Linked DNA regions of Macaca fascicularis. The protein of the gene in region 2 binds, or shares a complex with, the protein of the main gene of each other region. Links are inferred from orthologs where the notes say so. Each region holds a gene or a part of one and is shown on either strand. Other genes may lie near its edges.

What was found.
Region 1: RBMX2 (region 2) and SF3B2 share a complex: the UniProt entries of both Homo sapiens proteins name them as parts of the minor spliceosome. The link is inferred for Macaca fascicularis from reciprocal best matches to the Homo sapiens genes RBMX2 and SF3B2.
Region 3: RBMX2 (region 2) and CRIPT share a complex: the UniProt entries of both Homo sapiens proteins name them as parts of the minor spliceosome. The link is inferred for Macaca fascicularis from reciprocal best matches to the Homo sapiens genes RBMX2 and CRIPT.

What each region holds. Positions count from the first base shown.
Region 1 is NC_088388.1:8,336,667-8,343,589, forward strand, and holds the start of SF3B2 (splicing factor 3B subunit 2), read right to left. Parts: upstream 4,726-6,923; 5' UTR 4,696-4,725; coding exon 4,563-4,695; intron 4,408-4,562; coding exon 4,361-4,407; intron 4,054-4,360; coding exon 3,976-4,053; intron 3,937-3,975; exon of another isoform or gene 3,854-3,936; intron 1,910-3,853; coding exon 1,670-1,909; intron 1,450-1,669; coding exon 1,399-1,449; intron 176-1,398; coding exon 58-175; intron 1-57. UniProt on the Homo sapiens protein: Component of the 17S U2 SnRNP complex of the spliceosome, a large ribonucleoprotein complex that removes introns from transcribed pre-mRNAs.
Region 2 is NC_088395.1:136,675,642-136,682,553, reverse strand, and holds the start of RBMX2 (RNA-binding motif protein, X-linked 2), read right to left. Parts: upstream 4,593-6,912; 5' UTR 4,529-4,592; coding exon 4,524-4,528; intron 4,313-4,523; coding exon 4,197-4,312; intron 2,746-4,196; coding exon 2,694-2,745; intron 1-2,693. UniProt on the Homo sapiens protein: Involved in pre-mRNA splicing as component of the activated spliceosome. As a component of the minor spliceosome, involved in the splicing of U12-type introns in pre-mRNAs.
Region 3 is NC_088387.1:75,423,466-75,430,388, reverse strand, and holds the start of CRIPT (cysteine-rich PDZ-binding protein), read left to right. Parts: upstream 1-2,629; 5' UTR 2,630-2,716; coding exon 2,717-2,732; intron 2,733-4,199; coding exon 4,200-4,265; intron 4,266-5,058; coding exon 5,059-5,113; intron 5,114-6,923. Other genes in the region: PIGF (phosphatidylinositol-glycan biosynthesis class F protein), read right to left, coding at 316-543. UniProt on the Homo sapiens protein: As a component of the minor spliceosome, involved in the splicing of U12-type introns in pre-mRNAs. Involved in the cytoskeletal anchoring of DLG4 in excitatory synapses.

The DNA.
Region 1 (6,923 bases), on a different chromosome or scaffold from region 2:
TTTTTAAAAATGTCTAAATCACTTTTCTTGCTCTTCCCCTCCATCCCAGGGTCTCACCTCGAGGACCCAGAGGAGTGCGCACACCAATCTGGCCCATGTCTTGTGGGGGCCGAGGGACTGGGGTGCCCATCTTGGCAATCTCCTGCTGTCGTTCCTGCTCCAATAACACAGCTGCCTACGGGAGGGAAGTGGGAGTAGACACTGCCTGAAAACTAGTTTGGCAGGCAGCCCCTGGCAAATGCATTCTTTCAGCGGGTAATGGGCCCAAGGAGAACAATCACAAACCCCTTGGGTGCTGACATCCCCTCCACCCCCACACTTCCAGGCTACTAATCCAAATGGAGGAGCCCTCTCATCACAACGGAAAATCCCTAGAAATAACACCAAGGAAAACCCCAGGAAACTTCTGGTTCCAAGCAGGGAATTTCATATTGAGCCAAACAGTGCCTTCTACTTTTCAGAGAGTTTTCTTCCCCAAAAGATACATTAGAAACTTTTGAGCTCTTTTCTTATATCTACCCCTCAAGATCCAGCACAATCTGGGCAAAGACAGTACTTTATCCACAGGTTGAGACTTGTGGTTTTTTGTTTTTTTTTTTTTTGAGACAAGGTCTGGCTCTGTTGCCTAGGCTGGAGTACAGTGGCATGATCTCAGCTCACTGCAACCTCTGCCTCCCCAGCTCAAGCCATCCTCCCACCTCAGCCTTCCAAGTAGCAAGACTACAGGCACGCGCCACCACACCTGGCTAATTTTTGTATTTCTGATAGAGACAGGGTTTCATCATGTTGGCCAGGCTGGTCTCGAACTCCTGAGCTCAAGCAATCTGCCCACCTCAGCCTCCCAAAGTGCTAGGATTACAGGTGTGAGCCACCACGCCCAGCTCATACTTGTTGCTTTTAATGCTCAGTTTTTAATACTCCTGAGTAATCCACTGCGTAATGACTAATGCAACGCACCTCTGGGGCCAAATATCTTATATAACATTCCCAGACTTACAGTCCTATTTTGTCTAAATCCAATACAAATAACTCAATTACCCAGAGTCCTATCTAGAATGATGTCATGTAAGGCGAGCAGAAGTCAGCATGCTCTTTTTGAATAGGTCGGAAGGTAAATACTTTAGGCTTTATGGATTACCATATGGACTCTGGTACATATTTTTGTTTGGGTTTTCTTATAATCCTTAAAAAATTTTAAAGTTGTTTTTAGCTCACAGGCCATGCACATACAGGCCACAGGTCATAGTCTGTCAATTCCTGAACTTCAAGAAAAATTGAATGCTTTGGAAGACACTAGTACTTAGTTGGGAACAAAACTTGATTGGTGCATTCGAAGCAATACAAATGACAGCCAATGGATTGGACCATGAGGTCAAAGGTTAGGGGGAGGGGTATTACCCGCTTCTGCTGCTCCAAGAGCTCATGTTCCTTCAGCGAATGATCTCCCTGCTTAAAAAAGAAAACAAGTTCATACCAGCACCAATACCCAACGGGCCAATCTGCCACAACTCTTGCTTCTTGAGATCCTCTTCCAGTCAAGGGCCCATGTTCCAATATTTAGTCCCCACCTTCCCAGAAGCCTTAGTTCTAGGACCCAGCTTTCTCTTAAGGCTCCACTGCCCCTTCAGGGACCTAATGAGGCCCAGGCCAGGGCTTCCACCTGCCCTACCTGCTTGGCACGTTCCTCCTGCTGCATCAGCAATGCCGCCTGCTGCTGAGCCAACTTCAGCCGCTCCTCCTCTGACAGTGCCACTGGCTCACCCACACGGAGAGGAGGCGGGGGCCCCAAATTTGGTGGGTGGGCCATAGGAAAGCCAAGGCCAAGGCCTGGTGGAGGTGGTGGGGGAGGTGGAGGAGGCTGCAAAGGGGGGAGTCCCAAAGGTGGTGGTGGCATGGGAATTCCAGGGAGCTGTGGAGAAAATATGATCATAAAATTAGGAAACATTTATCTACTCATCTGCACATATCTGGGGGATCTACTTTGAGTCAGGAGCTGGGATTCTAAGTCAAATGACACATAGTTCCTAATTCGTAAGAGAGAATGCTCCATAGCCCTATAAAGATATGAGAATGTTAACTTCCGGCACCAACCACAATAAGCTATCCACTCTCTCCAGAAAGATATCCTGAATACAGACTCTGCATACAATTCCAGGAGACTCAAAGACACCTCTGAGGCCATCTAGGGACTCCTCATTCTACACACAGAGATCAATAGATCCTAGGTCAGAGCCACTGCTTTAGAGAAAAAGAAGCAAATCCTGGATCAGAAGCAACATGGAAATTGAGAGGACTTAAATAAACAGGAACCACTGTACCAGGGCAATGCAAACCCCAATGACTGCTAAATGCAAGGAGTATGAAATCAAATCAGGGAGCTCTCAATGTCTCACAAAAGAACATGGGAACTGTTCCTGGGGCAGGCAAAGAAGAGGGTGATTGCTTCCAGCTGGGTAGGGACAAGTCGGGCTTCCTTGTATTCAAGCTGTTTTTTTTTTTTTGTTTTTTTTTGTTTGTTTGTTTGTTTTTTTTTGAGATAGAGTCTGTCACCCAGGCTGGAACGCAATGGTGCAATCTCAGCTCACTGCAACCTTTGCTTTCCAGGTTCAAGCAATTCTCGTGCTTCAGCCTCCCAAGTAGCTGGGATTACAGGCGCCTGCCACGATGCCCGGCTAATTTTTGTATTTTTAGGAAAGACGAGGTTTCACTATGTTGGCCAGGCTGGTCTCGAACTCATGACCTCAAGTGATTGCCCGCCTCGGCCTCCCAAAGTGCTGGGATTACAGGCGTGAGCCACCATGCCCTGCCTCTCTCTCTTTTTTTTTTTTTTTTTTGAGACAGTCTTGCTCTATCGCCCAGGCTGGAGTGCAGTGGCCTGATCTCGGCTCACTGGCTCACTGCAACCTCCGCCTCCTGGGTTCAAGAGATTCTCCTGCCTCAGCCTCCCAAGTAGCTGGGATTACAGACATGTGCCACCACGCCCAGCTAATTTTTGTATTTTTAGTAGAGACAGTTTCACCATGTTGGCCAGGCTGGTTTCAAACTCCTGATCACAGGCGATTCACCCGCCTTGGCCTCCCAAAGTGCTGAGATTACAGACATGAGCCACCATCCCCTGCCTCTTTTTTTTCCCCCTATTTTTTTATTTTATTTTATTTTATTGTAAGTTCTGGGGCACACGTGCAGGATGTGCAGGTTTGTTACATTGGTAAATGTGTGCCATGGTGGTTTGCTGCACCTATCAACCCACTGCCTAGGTATTAATTCTGGCGTGCATTTGCTATTTTTCCTGACAATCTCCCAGCCCCTGCCCCATCACCCCCCAACCTTTTTTTTTCTTTTTTTTTCAGAGAAGTAAAGTCTCATTCTGTCACCCAGGATGGAGTACATGGAGTACAGTGGCGCAACCAGAGCTCATTGCAGCCTTGAACCTCAGGGCTCAAGCAATCCTTGAGCCTCAGCTTAGAGAGTAGCTTGGACTTTATAGGCATGTGCTGCCGTGCCCAGCTAATTTTTAAAAATTTTTTGTAGTAACAAGAGTCTCACTGTGTTGCCCAGGCTGGTCTCGAACCCTGGCTTCAAGTGATCCTCCCATCTAAGCATCCCAAAGTGGTGGGATTACGGGCATGTGCCACTGCACCTGGCCACAAGCTGAATCTTGAATGACAGGTAGAATTTGGAGAAGCAGACAGTGGAAAAGGAGGCAAGTATCAGCATCAAAGAGAGAACTGAAGAGCTCACAATTCTGTCATGGCAGTACCTCCTTGCCCAGTCAGTCAGTTGCATCTCAAGTACACTGCAATTAAGAGGAAGGGCTACCCTGAACAGATGGAATCTTTCTATTCCCCACTCAGGTCAGGCGAGATGTGCAAGGGTGTGACGTCTCACACATGCACGCGAACACCGAATCATCATGCTCATGAACTACAAAAGGATCAGCAGATAGAATCTTAAAAAATGGAAGAACCTCCCTACCTGCGCTGACATGGGAGGTGGAGCGGCTTTGTCCCCATCTTCCCCTCTCAAAACCGGCCGATTCAGCACGATGCCAGTCTGCAAAAGAGAAAGGACTCTAGGTCAGTCCAAAACTAGCTGTTTCACTAATCGACGATCTCTCCCAATTCATTTAACAAAACGTATCCAGTGCCTGTCTGCCAGCGCTCCGGCTGGGCACTGAAGAGGACCAAGATGGATACAAGAAATTACAACTAAGCTGGCAAAGGCAAGAACAAGCCAAAAAGGGCAAGCCTCCGCCTTGCTGTGCCAAGATAAAGAAAGAATGAAGACCGAGCCGTGATGGGGTATATAAGGTCTCCTGGAGAAGCTCGGCCTATCCTGACGTCCCGCCGCCAACACCTACCTGGCGGGTGTAGGTCTGCAGCCGCTCCACCAGCTCCTCGCGATTACCTGCGGGGCAAAGTACACGATCAATGGAGCAGGCAAGCCCGGCCAGGTCAGACCCCAGCTGCCCGCCTCCGCCCCTCGCGCCCGGGTCTCCCGGGTAACCAGGCTCCGCTTCTCCGCAGGCCCGTAAAGGTCCCTCGACTTTCTGTGTTCCTCACCCTGGATCGGAGCTCCGATCTCTGCCAACTTGGCCTGAAGCTCCTGGGCAGCCCAGGCGCCATAGTGGCCTGGAGGTGGCGGCGGCGGCAGCTGCAATTCCGCTTTGGGAGGCTCGGGATGCTCGGTCGCCATCTTGGCCGCAGCAAGGCGCGCGACCAACCCGGAAGCTCGGGCCGGCCTCTGGGCCCACTTTCCGGAACTTCCGGCGGCGCCGTACGCCACGTCCTCTCTGGTTGGGAGGCGACGCGCACGCAGGCCCACCCGCTGCGGTACGCTAGGCGACGGGATTCGCCGCAGACGCCCCTTTCTTCAGTGGCCCCTCGGCCGTCTGGTCGCTAGGCCTCCTGGGAGTTGTAGTGCGCAGGTCTCGGTCTCTGCGGGCCCTGCGCCAGGCTACGGCCCAGAAGGCCGGCGGCGGGCCGGAGGGCGGGGCTGCGGGGAAGGCTGGCCCTGCCCGGAGGGAGTGTTTTCTGCGCCTCACCTGCGGGAGCGCAGGCTGTCAAGCCTTCCGGCCCGGCTCCCCGGTCAGAGCCTCGGACTCTTACGCTCCCAGGGAGTCCCGAGAGACTCATTTCCCCGGCGGCTCCGCGTTGCGGGCGCCAAGCGGGAGGCTGGAGCCAATGCCCGGGATAAAACAGTGTCTGATTGTCTGCCCGCCCACCCCCGGCCCAGGCCCGGATGAATGGGCTGAAAGGGGATCCGAGCCAGGAGAGGAGCGGGCCCGCCCGGGCTGAGCTCCAGCTGCCGACCTGGGGGAAGGGCGACACTAAAGCCCCCTTTTCCACCTTCCAAGCCGGCTCAAATGTCGTCTTCACTAAGCTTTCTCCCGCTTTCCTTTCCTTTCTTAGAGTTCCCATAATACATTCGAATCTCCACCGTTTGATAAGTCTTTCTTGCCCTTTCTTCCTACCTGCATCCCAAAAATGTGAGCAGGGACTTGATCTTTTTCAGTCTCGCATCACCTGCCGTTCAAGAGGCGCCCAATAAATGATTACTGGGAAAAAGGAACAATGTTTCTGGTGACAGTATTTGTGTCTTTTAGTCTCAAAAATAAACTCAGGCCCCTTTTCCCTCAGCCGCACCTGCACTGGGGGCCCACCTTGCCGCCCACTCCCCACCCCAACTCCCCGTGGTCTTTGGGGACAGAGGCAGATACTGGCAGGGATTCTTGCCTGCCTAGCATCCACCTCTCGCTGTCCCACACCATCAATTCAATTTCTCTCCCCACCTCTGCCACTAGCTCTGCCCTGTCACTAACAGCCAGGCTCACTGTGTGTGTTTTTATGTGTATTGAGTACGGGAATGGGGAGACTTCAGTGAAATGGTCTCATTTTCCCCCAAACATCCCCTTCAGATCTTTTCTCCAGCTCCATTTTGCCAACTGCCCCCCGTGGAGAAGAAGCTGGGAACAGGGGAAAAAAGAATGGGGCACCAGGTCTGGGGAAGGTGAGGTTTGGGAGAGACAGGGAAAAGGATTGGGTTGAGAAAGGTTGGCTCACATCCTAGCACTGGGTGGGAAGTCCTCTTCCTCCTACCCAAACCTTGACCTTTCCCCTTTGCATCAATATCACTATGGCAGGCTCCTGCTGCCACTCCCAGAGGGGAAGCCAAACCTGGAAAGGACAGTAAGGAAGACAGAACAATGGTGCCCTTCCCTCCAGCTTGTCAGCCCACTCAGGCAGAACCTTTCTAGCCCAAAGGAAGGCTCTTCTGCTCCCTGTAACTGGAGAGCCCAGAGCAGGTCATCTGAGGCTGAAGGCCTCAAGCGATGTGTAGGTGCTAGGGAAGGGGGCGGGGTCTCTGAGGCAGGATAAACTAAAGGCTGATGGTGGAGCCTCATTTTATGACAGCTCTGGGAAAGAGGCAAGGTATCAAGATCCTCCTCCGACCCCGACCTTGTACACAGTGGAGGATTGATGGGCAGAGAAGGTGACATGCCCAAGGGGCCGAACTGGGGCCACCAGCAGTCCTTCTGACTCTCAGAGTCCCAATTTCCTCCTCCTTAACGGTAACAAGGACCCTCATACAATACTACCTATTTCCTATGTGGACCTAGAAGGGCGTATCCAGCCCCTTCCAGTCCCACCTTTGGATGACTACCCAGCTCCAGGATCCTTGCTTTACCAGGCCCAGAGCAAAATAAAAAGCAGGTGGGCAGGTCAGCCACAGAACTCAGTGTGGGGCTCTCAGTGTCTGGCATGGCTTTGAGAGGTGCTGCTGCCCAGCTCCCAGGTGATAGGAACTGAGGACTAAGAAGTTCACATGAATCCTTCATGTGTATTATCTCTGCTACCTCAGAACAGCTTCCCATTTTAGAGCTGGAAGCAATAGGGCTCAGGGAGTTGCCTCTTGACTTTGGG
Region 2 (6,912 bases):
ATGAAACATAAATGAATTCTGTGTTTAGATCTGGGTCCCAGCCCCAAGAGAGCTCATGACGTTTATGCAAATTGGAAACACTTCTGGTCCTTTGGTCCCAAGCGTTTTGTTTTTCTTTTCTTTTCTTTTCTTTTTTTTTGGAGACAGAATCTCACTCTGTCGCCCAGGCTGGAGTGCAGTGGTGCTATCTTGGCTCACTGCAACCTCCACCTTCCCAATTCAAGTGATTCTCCTGCCTTGGCCTCCAGAGTAGCTGGGACTACAGGCACCCACCACCACACCTGGCTAATGTTTTGTATGTTAGTAGAGATGGGGTTTCACCACGTGGCCCAGGCTGGTCTCACTCCTGAGCTCAGGAAATCCACCTGCCTCGGCCTCCCAATGTGCTAGGATTACAGGCATGAGCCACCGCGCCCAGCCCCAAGCATTTTGGATAAGGGATATTCAACCTGTAATACAATACACAACAAAGTGCTAGAGCAAAGAGTTAATATCCTTCATACATGAAGGGCTCATGTAAAATCAACAAGAAAATAAGGAAAATACTTGTAGAAAAAAGTTGGCAAGGGTATGAATAGACAATTTACAAAGAAAAAGAATAATGGGCTGCAAATCTAGAAACAGATGTTCAACCTCACTGATGATGAAATAAAGGCAAAGCAAAGTAATAATGAAAAGCCCTTTGGCAAATATTTTTTAAAATCGCCACTGTTAATCAGGATTCAGAAAAATGGGCATTCTAGTGAGTGTGGAAATTGGTACAACCTTTTGGAGAGCAATTTGGCAATGTTTATAAAACATCTTTAAAATGCTAACATATTGATCCATATTCCTCTTTCACTAAAGAGACCATGAGGGATGCATACAAAAATGTATATACTATAATGCACACTGCAGTATAATTCATAATAGCAAACCACTGGAAATAACATCCAGCATTTTTTTTAAAATGATAAAGAGATATGCCAAAACATTAAGGTTTTCCTTAAGAGTGTGTTCTATTTTCTTCTTTATACTTTATTTTGCCAAATGTTCTATAATGACTATATATTACCTTCAAAATAAGAAACAAAGTAGATTTCTTTTTTTTTTTCTTTTCTTTTTTTTTTTTTTTGAGATGGGGGAATCTTGCTTTGTCCCCCAGGCTAGAGTGCAATGGTGCAATCCTGGCTCACTGGAACCTCCACCTCCTGGATTCAAGCAATTCTCCTGCCTTAACTTCCCAAGTAGCTGGGATTACAGGCGCGCACCACCATGCCTGGCTAATTTTTGTATTTTTAGTAGAGATGGGGTTTCCCCATGTTGGCCATGCTGGTCTCAAACTCCTGACCTCAGGTGATCCGCCCACCTCAGCCTCCCAAAGTGCTAGGATTACAGGCGTGAGCCACCATGCCCAGCCAACAAAGCAGTTTTTTGAAAGGCACTGTTATCAGCGGCAATCTTCATGGAGAGCAACGTGTGTAACCAGAATAGAGAATAGAGAATTAGAATAAACAAACAAGCACACGTGCTAGCTGATCATCACTCAATGCAAGTAGAACTAAACAGCTCCAAGAGGGAAGGCTGAGTAGAAGTACACAAAGGGGTAGAAATTATAGGCTGCACCTGCTGTGAACCTTGCAACATCCACAAGTTGAAGGAAGCAATCTTTGTCCCTGCCAGGGCCCTCCACTCGTGTGGGTTGCCCAGGTTCTCTATCACAGCCTTCTTCTCACGGGTATTGCCCAATTCCTTTCCCATGGCTTGCTGCCCCATAAGTGGCCCAACCACTCAGCCAGGGCCCTCTGTCCATGGATGGCCCTACCATCCTGCCATAGCAATCCCTCTGCCAGTGTATGCTACCTGTGTTTGCTTGGCCAGCCCCTTTTGCCATGGTCTGCTACCTGTACATGCTGTCCAACTTCTCTGAAACAGTACTATGCTCTGAAGGCCTACAAAACCCAAATGTAGTGGTCCTTTGCACCTGTGCCAAGATCCTCTGGCCCTGTGGACTAACTGTGCTGTTTACCTCTGGGGTTGCAGGCCAGCTGCCCAGCCCCTCTCCTACTAGCTGCTACTACCAGTATGAGCCACCAACACCCTCTCCCACCAAATGCTGCTGCCAACACCTCAGCAGAATGAAGAATATACAGATCTCCTATTCATTCTTGTTCCTCGTCAGGCTGTGATTCTCAGCCTCCAGGTAGAGATTGGCTTTGCTCACTAACCTTACATTCATTGAGAATCAAAGAAAGCAAACTACAACCTTCTTTCTGTTTTTCATCCCAATTCCTCTGTGGTTTGCCCCAGTCGTATGATGCCACACAGGCAAGGACCAGAAGGGCCCTGTGACCATGGGTTACCCCTAGTTTGCAAGAGCCCAAGGAGGCGTACCAATATGGAACCTTCCTGAGGGTTCCAGTCTGTTCCAGTCTAGGCCCAGGCTGAACAAACCTCAGTGAAAAACAACAGAAATAGACTAGAATCCCCAAGATGGCCTCCCAAATTAACAAACCTCTTGGATCTCCCACAGGAGAACATTCTAGAACCATGTCCTGGGACTGATCTAGACTAGAGCAGAAGCTCCAGCCCTCCCCATGCAGGGACACCATTCAGCCTAGAGTGAAAATAAGTGGTTTTTGTGATGCCACAAAATGCATTACAGAAAAAAGTACTCTGTCGACTCAGGAGGCAGGAAATGAAAGGGGACTTACTGTGAGAACACACAGATGATGTCCCCTTCAGTCAGTTCATAAGGAAGCCCTCCTAGAAAAGAAAACCACATTTCAGTTCCACCAACATTTACCAAGTGTTTACTACGTACCATGCACTAGGCCAGGCACTAGGGGTGCAAACAGTAAGCAACAGGCCCTGCCCTTAAAGAAATCAAGTCTGGGCTGGGCACCATGGCTCACGCCTGTAATCCCAGCACTTTGGGAGGCCAAGGCGGGTGGATCACCTGAGGTCAGGAGTTCGAGACCAGCCTGGTCAACATGGCGAAACCCCGTCTCTACTAAAACTACAAAAAAAATTAGCCGGGCGAGGTGGCGGGCACCTGTAATCCCAGCTACTCAGGAGGCTTAAGCAGGAGACTCGCTTGAACCCAGGAGGCAGAGGTTGTAGTGAGCCGAGATCACGTCACTGCACTCCAGCCTGGACAACAAGAGTGAAACTCCAACTCAAAAAAAAAAAAAAAAAAAAGAAAGAAAGAAATCAAGTCTGATGCAATGACAGAAGTACATGTAAGGTGCCAGTAGAACAGGAAAAGGAGTGACTAATTTTGAGTGGAAGTCAGTGTCACCACTAACAAAAGTAAACTGATCACTCAGTCCTCCTGGCACCCAAAATCCTATGGGCAAAGCAGATAGTTTCCATCACAAACCTCTGCTTCCACAAACATGTTGAATTCATCTGCTCATTACCCACAAATTTACAGCTATGATACAAAATTAGTCTACATATGTCATGATTAACCCCACCTACACATAGACAAAGGTTATAAAGACACTGTTAAGCATTTCCTAGGGAATAATTTCCCTTCCAAATGTTTCTTTCCTCATCTGTAAGATGGGGATATTAGCAGGTAACTCGCAAGACTGTTATAAGAGTTAAATAAAACGATGCATATAAAGTGCTTAGCACAACGTTTTTACAATAACCTCTTTGAAGCATCAAACTTGTACAATTACTGGTTGTGATATAAAGTGAATACAGTAATGGTAGTGTGGCCATGGTCAGAAAGCAGGAGCTAGAGGAGCAAAGTGAATTCTGCAAGGGAAGGGGAATGGGGGAGGGCGGTGGTAGCAATATGGGGCTGTGGCTAAGACCATGAGTTCTAGAAAGCTATAGTTCTGCCTGTTGCGGTTATTAGCTATGTGACCTTAAGGAAGTCCCTTAACTTCTCTGCACCCCAATTTCCTCAGCTGTAATAACGGGTCAGGGGGTGAGAGAGAAATAACAACAGTCCCTGAACCTTAGCACAGCAAATGGCAAACAGTAACTCTCATGAGCACTGATTTGGCTGGGAAGGAAAACTAAAAATGGGGCAGAAAAAAAAAAAAAAAAAAAAGATGGAACACGGATTCCCGGGCAGACAGCAGATGGATATAAAGGAGGGCAATGAATGTAAGCAGGAGTGAAGGGTGAAAATGCTGAAATAGTCGGACACCGAGCAGGAGAATCTTGGGAGCACTGCGGAAGAAAGATGTGCACCTCACCCAGGAAGATCCAGGCGCTGTCCTTGTACTCGGAGTGCCAGGACACTTTATCGGCCACCCCAAGCTGGACCTCTCGTTCATTCAGCTCGTTGATCAGCTTCACCTTAGTTAAAGGACTTCACGGTGGCGGGGGTGAGGGGAGGCAGAAAAGCAGACAAGTAAATGCTAACCGGCCGAAGCTGAAGAAGAGCAAAACAAGGGGACGAGGTGTTCTAGTCCCCGCGCCTCTCCCGCCCCTCGACCCCGCAGACGCTCTACCACCCCAGCCCCAGTAGACCACCCTCAGCGGCCCGCTGCTCGTTCCTCAAAAGGAAGCTGACGCCTTACTTCATCTCCGCGGGCTCGCGCTCAGCATTCAGGAATCAGCGCCCGGGAAAGGCAGCGCCGCGCATGCGCGGCCCCGGCGCCGGTGGCTCGTCGAGTCGGTGACCTCGCGCCGGAAGAGCTGGGGCGTACCGGGGCGTGGCGCCTGCGCACTAGAAGCCTTCCGCGTTCTTTGCGGTTACCTCTTGTAGAAACGGTTTTTCTCTAATTTTTCGCTTTTTCTCCTCTGTGAAATGGGGTAAAGGCACGAGCCTGGGCTGTTGCAGGACCCCCAGCTCTTGAACGATATCGGAAACTGGTTAGATTAGCTATAAATATTTGCTGAATGAACGGAATAAGCAGCCTGATGTGGCGACTTTAGTCTCAGCCCTCGCTCCCAGTCCAGAGTCCCACTTGGACCTTCGCTCTTAGTCAGTTGCTCACGCACAGACCCATCAAAGCATCCCTGTCATGGCAGAAAAGTGAAGAAGATAGGTGAAAAGGTAAATCTTCTGTTGTTCTTATCCCAATACATAGGCAACAGACCAGTGTGCCTCTATAGGCTGAATTGAATACCTACAGATTTGCATGAGAGCCGCTGCACTTACTCTTTTCCATAGGCTCTCTCCTAGTTGAGCAGGAGACAGAAATTAATATTGTTAAATTAATAGCTAGCAAGTGAGCAGATGATGTACTGTATGATACTAGAGTATGTGCTAAGCAATTTACATGTATTGTCTCTCCACCCTCACAACAACCCAATGAAGCAGATAAAATTACAATTCCTGGCCGGGCGCAGCAGCTCATGCCTGTAATCCCAGCACTTTGGGAAGCTGAGGGAGGAGGATTGCTTGAACTCAGGAGTTTGAGACCAGCCTGGGCAACATAGCAGAACCTGTCTCTAAAATAAAGGAAAAAAGGGGGGGCCAGGTGTGGTGGCTCACACCTGTCATCCCAACACTTTGGGAGGCTAAGGCAGGTGGATCACCTGAGGTCAGGAGTTCAAGACCTACCCAGCCAACATGGTGAAACTCTGTCTCCTCTAAAAATACAAAAATTAGCTAGGCATGGTGGCACACGCCTGTAATCCCAGCTACTCGGGAGGCTGAGGCAGGAGAATCACTTGAACCTGGGAGGCAAAGGTTGCAGTGAGCTGAGATCGCACCACTGCACTCCAGCCTGGGCAGCAGAGCGAGACTCCTTGTTTTTAAAAAAAAAAAGAAAGAGAAAGTAAAAGAAATTTCCACCCTCGTTTTGTAGAGGAAGAAATGAGGCTCAAATGAATAAATTAACTAGAAAGGTACTAGAGCACCTGCACCCAGTAGGTCAGGTTGATTCAATCAGTCCTTACTGAACATCTAGATTTGTCCTGTGCAGCTAAGGTCTGTAGACAGGAGTATCAGGTTGGGTCCTCTGCCCTCAAGGAGCTAATATTATAATTAAGGGGACAAGATATATTTGCCTGATAGATTTCAACCAGAAATATCTAGAAACCAGTGGAAGAGATGATTAACATATAATATGTGATTTAACCCATATTGACAGTTTGAATCCATTTTGCACATGTCCACATCAGTACCTGCTCTTGGACCATGATGTTCTAAAAGTAAAAGTCCAGAGCTGTGTGGCCTATCTCAGAGCACCAGATATTAGGTCCTTCATAAAAACATTTTGATGACGATACCAACTGTACCCTCAAGTGGCCCACCATGTAACCAATGTCCTGCCAAAAAGGAGAACAGAGCCTGCCCACCAATGACAGTTTCTCCTCATTCATTCTATGTCTGTTCCCCCTTCCCCATTCCAACCTAGCTATTCATTAACTTTGTAAAATTATCTTGGCAATGAAAGCTAAACAGTGACAGATTGCATATGGGGGTTATCTGCTCCTAGGAATCTCAGGTTGCTTAGTTGTGGGTTGAAGTAGCCACTGCAGAGTGATAAACTAGCATGCAGCATTATCTTGCTGACTCTTTCAAATGGCTGTGAAATGAGAGAGTTAAGACTATACCTGGGGATAAGTCATCAGTGTTCCAAGAGAAGCTGGAGCAAAAGAGTAGAATAAGACCAATTTAGATTGAGAACATGAGAAGGCTATTATTACTATGCAGCTGGTAGGTTCAGCAGAGCTATTCTGAAGGTGAGAGAGCTGAATATTGCTTCAGTTTTCCTGGAACTGAGAAGTTTCTGAGACTTCTGACCTTTGGAGCTAAAATTGGCAACCCCAGAACAAACCAGGATGGTTGATCACCCTAGGAGATCCTGAAGTAAATAACGAAGCAAGGAAGTCAGACTTTCCATAGATGTACTTGCAATTGACAGGAATTGGTAGGTAAGGTGATGCCTAGAGATATCCATAAGTATGAGTTGAAAAGAGGTGGGGATGCAGAGGACCCTCTGAACTTAACATCTG
Region 3 (6,923 bases), on a different chromosome or scaffold from region 2:
TACTGAATAAGGTTTAAAGACAGACTGTCACATGTATTTATTTTCAATGGTGACATAAAACAATGACTATACAGGCTCACAATATTATCATAAGCTCTGAAGAAGTCATAATTCCACAATTAATGCAAGGCAGGGATTAATCAAACATTATGGGCAGCCTTCCAGCAAGTAACAGGCTACCAATTTGGTGGGAAAAAATCAGGTTCCCTTTACTCACTGTAAATAACCTAATGAAGACTTGACGAATACTTTATTCTTCCATTAAAAGAAGCACTAGCTCCATCCAAAAACCAGTTATTGAGACATAAGCCTTACCTTGTGTGATAATGAACTTCTTTTAGAGGATGTATTTGGTTTCACCGCTAAATATAGTACTAGATTGACAGCAGTTACAAAACCAGAACAGATGCACAACCATGTCAAGTGTGTTTCCAATATTGAGAAGTTCTCCAAGAAGAGTGATGGAATGAAGACACTTAGGATAATCGAAAATATGCATAAAAGATGGGTATACAGTAGTCTTTTGATATCGGTGTCTTTCATGGTGTTTTCTCGGGTGGCTAGCTAACGAAAAACAAGAAAGGAAGAGCATACGCAATAATGACTTTTTCCATTGTCTTAAATGTTTCAACCCTTAAAAATAAGTCATAAAGTCAATTTGCTATGAGCAATGTATTTGTTTCAAAACACAGAAGATGCAGAAGTGTAGATGCACATATAGACTTTTTATTCTACCTTTGATTTTCTTAATATGGTACAAACATCTCTCAGAGTCTTAAAAAAACAAATTTACTAATTTCTTAAATATTGTGACTGGTTTCTGCAAAAGGGTCATGTCCTAGGACCAATAAAACAATTCATTTAAACTTTTTTGGCCAATATCACAGAGATGAAATCAACTGTGTGGATTAAATTATCTACTGCCTGTTGGAATTATAACCAAAGTTTATTTATGAGGTTTCCAGAATGCATAAGTTATAATTCCAACAACCCCAAATATATACTTAGGCTAAATTGCTGGGGTTTTTTTACTCTTGTCTAACATTACAGTAGTTCACATCTTCTAGCAAATGCCAAATGACACCAAGTGCACACTCGAATACTCAAATGGTGGCCAGTGGAATCAAGAGTTCAAAGAGCACCACACTAAACTAAGGGATCTCGATGCTTCAGAAACACCAAGATGACAACGTCTGTTACAGGTGTTAAATTCCAACCAAAAGTAGAGCACGAATGGAAGGAGGGAAAACAAATTACTCATCTCTACAATACACGTATTTAAATTACCTGAGAGTTAATTGTACTGTTAAACAAGGACTTTATTAATTTAAAGTAACAGTCAATATGTTACACTATGGAGAATATTCCAGAAAATAGAAATATCTCAGAAAAAAATACTACACACACACACACACACACACACACACACACACACGTGGGCGCGCGCGCGCGCGGAGGGGCGCCCGCTAGTGTGAAAAGCAGAAGGGCGAACCTGGGCCTTATCCTAATAGCTCTCATTTAATTCACCCAGTGCTTTTCAAAGGCAGATATTTTACTGATAAGGAAACAAGGCAAACAGGTGAGGTGGTCCAAGGTCCCACGCGCTACAGCTCTCTCTCTGGTATAAGGAAATACACTAGGCATGAAGAAGCAAACGGATGGCAAGAAGGGACAATGGTAAACTTTCCCATAGATTCTCTTAAGCTGATTGAGGGAGGGCAAGGGGATCAGGAATCCATTCTCTCAACAGATAGCCCTTCAGCCATTTTTCTGAGCCACCCTCGGAATCGCAGCTGCCATCAGATGTGGATGTAATACAGTGAGCAGTTACCAAACTCAACCGTTTGCTGAGTGAATGAAGGAACCAGAGTAGGCAAAGTGGGAAACCAACTCTCCTGGGAAACCAGCACCGTGTTAGGCCCTGGCGTGCCCCCAGGGCGCCTGCAGGGGTGCCACGGGCATGACGCGGCCCACCTTCCCCAGGCACCGCAGCGGAGAGAAGGCTCTTCAGAGCGGCCCCCAGAGGAGCCTTCACGGGCATCGCCGCACCTCCACCGGCAGCTCCACCCCAACCCTGGTCGCTGGGAATTCTGCCCGACCCTAGGCCGGCGCGAGCGTGGGCAGCGAGGAACCAGCTGAGAAGCAGGATCAAAGAGCTCGGGAGTTGGAGACAAAGAAAAACTGGGGGACAGAGGCAAAAACTCGGATCCGAAAGGGGGTCTGTCCATCAGGGCACGCCGGAAGAGTGGCGCTCGAGCTGACGGCGAGAGCTGGCGGGCCGGGGCGCCGAGGCTCAGGGCTGCTTCGGCAATTCGCGGGGGTGACTTGCACCCCGGGAGGCGAGAGCGCCTGGGAAGTCCAGCGAGGCTTACCTAACTTTCCCGCCCGCGGAAGGGAAGCGGGGAACTACTGCCTCCCACCATCAGGTACGACAGGAGGCCCAGGCCCACGCGCAGACGCAGGGTTGTGGGGCGGACACCCACGGCCGAACAGCCAGTCGCAGAAAGGGAGGGGCGGGCAAATGGGGCAGCCCCACCTAGCCGCTCGCGTTCATTCCTCCCGCGGCTTTCCAGGTTTGGGGTAGGCGGGAGCGGTGGGCTTAGAAGCCGGAAGTGGATTGACGTAGCCCGGAAGGGGAATACTTCCCAGTTACAGTGTTGATGTTTTCAGGCTCCTGCTGCTCCTGTTGCGGCTAGGGGAACTGTCGTGGGGAAGGATGGTGTGCGAAAAATGTGAGTTAAGGGGCTGCTTCTGCGGGAGGAGGAGGCTGGGATAATCTAACTGAGCCCTCCCGGGAACTTTGCCTTCTCTTTGTTTTTTTCGCCCACAGGTCTCTGATTCTAGCCGCTGTCTTTCTACCCTACCCTTTGACCATTTTTGCACCTCCCCAACGACCATACAGTCCTATGTATTTTGTACTCAGAATGGTCTCAGTTCTGCACCTCCCTCTCTATTTCCATTGCCTTCCCCCAGCCCCAGATCTCATCGGCTCCCCTCCCATATAAAAATGTTCAGTTAAACCCCAGCGACACCTTTCCCTCTTGGCAATTCCTGTCCTTTCCTTTTTATTCGTGTAACAAGTATTGTACTCCTGCCAAATGTTAGACACTGGAACCAAAGACTTAGGACTTTGCCTTATTCATTCTCATTAGTCATTATGCCAGGATATGGCGTAGAGTAAACCCAGAGATGTTTGAATTGAACATCAACGTAAGTGCAAATTATTATTTCCCTAATTTAAATCCTTTAATAAACTCTCAGTGTGCAGAGAATAATTTGGGGATTCTATATTTGGAACCTGACGTTCAGTACCCTCCACACTAAGGCGCTAACTTATTTTTCCAGCTTCATTTTCACTGACCCTCATCCTCTTCACACTTTGACCAAACAAAATACTCTTTGTGCCCATGTGTACTCTAAGCTTTCTATGCCTTTCCTCAGAATGTGTCCTTTATCTAGTTTGCGTTCATCCTCTTTACTCCTTTTTGTTCACAGTCCTGTTGCCACATATTCAAATCCTCTCTCTTGCCTTCTCTCCAAACTTTGTTTTCTTGGATTTCCTTAGCCAGGGTTATTTTTTCCTGCCTGGAATTTCTCCTAGTACTTTAGTTCTCAATTATTATATCTTTTATTTTTTAGCTTACATTTTGGTTGAATGGTTCTTTTTGGGGAGACGGTCTGTGATCCCTCTGAGAATCTGATGAAAACTGTAGCCTCTTGCCAGGAAAAAAAACTGAAAATATAAAAGGTTTGTGTACAACTCCACCTTGTTCACATATCTCTTAAGATCCACCTGGGGAACCCAGGTTACAGATTGCTGTTAAAGAAATTAGTATACTATAATCTCATTAAAATTTTGTCTGATTCATCACTTTTTCTCAGCACTTTCTATAGTTTATACATCATAGATGCTTAGTAAATATTTATGGAACAAATAGACTTATTGGATTTTTTAAAAGTATAAACAAACAGTGAAAGCTTATTATAAGCCATCTTATTATCCTGCGAATTTTACCGACGGTCAGTCATTCATTGCCCACAGTTAATATGAGTCTCAGTTGACTGGCTGCTTTCTCAGCATTAACAGGCTCCTATGGTAATAGCATTGATAGTCGATACCATTGTGAGCCTTAGGCACAATGTAATGCACTTATGAAATAGTAAATTTTAATTTTCCTTTTACTATCTTGTTCTAACAGGTGAAAAGAAACTTGGTACTGTTATCACTCCAGATACATGGAAAGATGGTGCTAGGAATACCACAGGTATTTCTTCTTTTAGAAAATAGGAATTTAACCAAATACTTACTGTGAATTATATTTTAGCTTTTACATTATTTGTACAATGAAATGTTGTATGTTCAAAGTATTTTATCTATTAAATATTAAAGAATACTGGGTCCCCAAGTGATTTAATATCTTTTATTTAGTTCTCAGTTACTTGTATGGGTTCCCAATATCAGGAGATAGCAAAATTATTAAATGATTGTCAAGTGGTGACAATATCACAGTATTTGATTATCACAATATTTGATTTGATTCAGCTTATTTAGAGTCTGTTTTTAATTTCCCCACTCTTCTGAGGAGAAATTTTTTTAAATCTTCTGATTTTTATATTCTTGAATAAATAAATGCTTTAACCCATTTTACCTTCATTATCATTAAATCTTTATAATGAAGTATTTACCTTCATTATTATTAAATACATATAGTAAAGTATGTTTTCAAAGCGTAGACAAATAAACATTTTCATTATATTGAAGGTCTATGACACTGAAGTAGTGGCTTCTAGATTTTACACTATATAGAGTAAATATAGACCCATTCCTAAAGTACTCCCTTGAGTCTGAGAAATAAAATGATTGTATTTTATACAAATTTTTACTGTTTCCCTAATAAATGTTTTCTTTTTAAGCAGTGTCTTAATAGCCTACTAAATGAGGATTTAAAAATTAGATACAGACTACTATTTTGGTAGAAAGTCAAAGAATGAACTTCTTAATGTTTTATGTTAAATGTATAGAAATAACCCACTAAAATATCTTTTATTCTGATACAGAAAGTGGTGGGAGAAAGCTGAATGAAAATAAAGCTTTGACTTCAAAAAAAGCAAGGTGGGTAAGAGCATCCATAGACAGATCATATAAATTTCCTTTCTTTTAGTATTAAGTCTGCTGGAGTGAATTTGATGTGCATCATTCCATTTGCAATAAAACATAAAGGTAGGTGGTTCATAGCACTCAGAACCAAGCTATCTGTTACAATCCTGCTGGTTTTACCTTATTCCTCCTTGGCTGTATCAATATATGAAGATATTAGTGTTATTCTCTTACAGTTTCACCAGAAAACATGACTTGTATTTTATCTCCTTCTTAATTATCCTATGAATCAGAGACAGCAGGGAAATGTGGAAAGATGGTAAGCTTTGGAGTCAAACCTGAATTTGAGTCTAGACCCACTGTCTAGCCTTATGACCTTAAGCAAGTTAAGCAAGTTTCTTGACCTTTCTAAACTTTACTTTTTCCTGAGAATTGGGGTAAAAATGTCTCCCATCTTAAAAACAAGTTTTTGATACCATACTTTATTAGATCCAGTCTTAAAAATTCTGCTGGGTATGGTGACTCACACTTGTAATCTCAGCACTTTGGGAAGCCAAGGCAGAAAGATTACCTGAGCCCAGGAGTTTGAGACCAGCCTGGGCAACATGGTGAAACCCTGTCCTTACAAAAAATGGAAAAATCAGGTGGGTGTGGCAGCACGCGCCTGTAGTCCCAGCTACTCAGGAGGCTGACATGGGAGGATCACTTGAGCCCAGGGAGGTCGAGGCTGCACTGAGCCAGGATCGCACTACTGATCTCCAGCCTGGATGACAGAGCAAGACTCTTTCAGAAAAAAATTCCGTGAACCCTTTCATCTGCCATCCGATTTCTTTGCTCCCCTTCACATCAGAGGTTTTCCAAAGTCTTATCTAGACACTTTCTCAGTGTCCTTAAGTTCCTTTCCCTCTTTTAGCCCCTCCAGTCGTATGTTATCCCCACAAAAGCCCTGAAACTGTTCTTGTTGAGATCACAAGCGACCTTTAAAACTGATTCTGTTCTTATTTAGCCTCTTCATAATTCTCTCGCGTTTTTCTCTTGGCTCCTGGGACACCACACTCTCCTGGTTTTCCTCCCAACTCACTGGCTATTCCTTCTCAATTGAGTACTTCAGGACTCAGTCCTAGGCTTTAAAAATTATTATAAATGCATAAACTCTCCTAAAGTGACTTTAATCTACTGGCTTTAAATTCAAGCTGTATGTTTATACACACACACACACACACACACACAATATTATTATATATATATAATAGCTCCCAAATTTATACCTCTGGCCTGAGTTCTCTGAGCTCCAAACATGTATCTAGCAGCTTATCTGACATACCTCATTTATTGTCTTAACAGGCCACTTCTTTTTCCTTCCATCTTCTCATCATAGTAGCACCACTGTCTAATCCAGTTGTTCAAGCCTAAAAGCTACAATTCTTCACTGAGTCCTCCCTTTCCCCTGCTTCCCCTATCCATCAACAAGTTCTTTGGATCTACCTCCAAAATGTAAAATATAACCTGAAACCACCTGCTTCTGTCCATCTTGCTGCTATTATCCTGTTCCAAACCACTGTTATTTCTTACTTGGAACTGTAATAACTATTGAACTATCTTCCTGCTTCTCTAGTTTCCCTCAGTTGTCTCATAGTAACAAGAGCGATCCTTTACAAAGTTCCTTTGCTTAAAACCCGCCACTGGTTTTCTTTTTCACATAGCATAAAATCTAAGCCCCCTACCATATTCTTACAAGGTCCTCCTTGATAGGACCCCTCGCACCTCTCTGGCTTTGTATTGTACTACACTGCTCCTCACTCATACGCCATCCTCATTAGTTCCG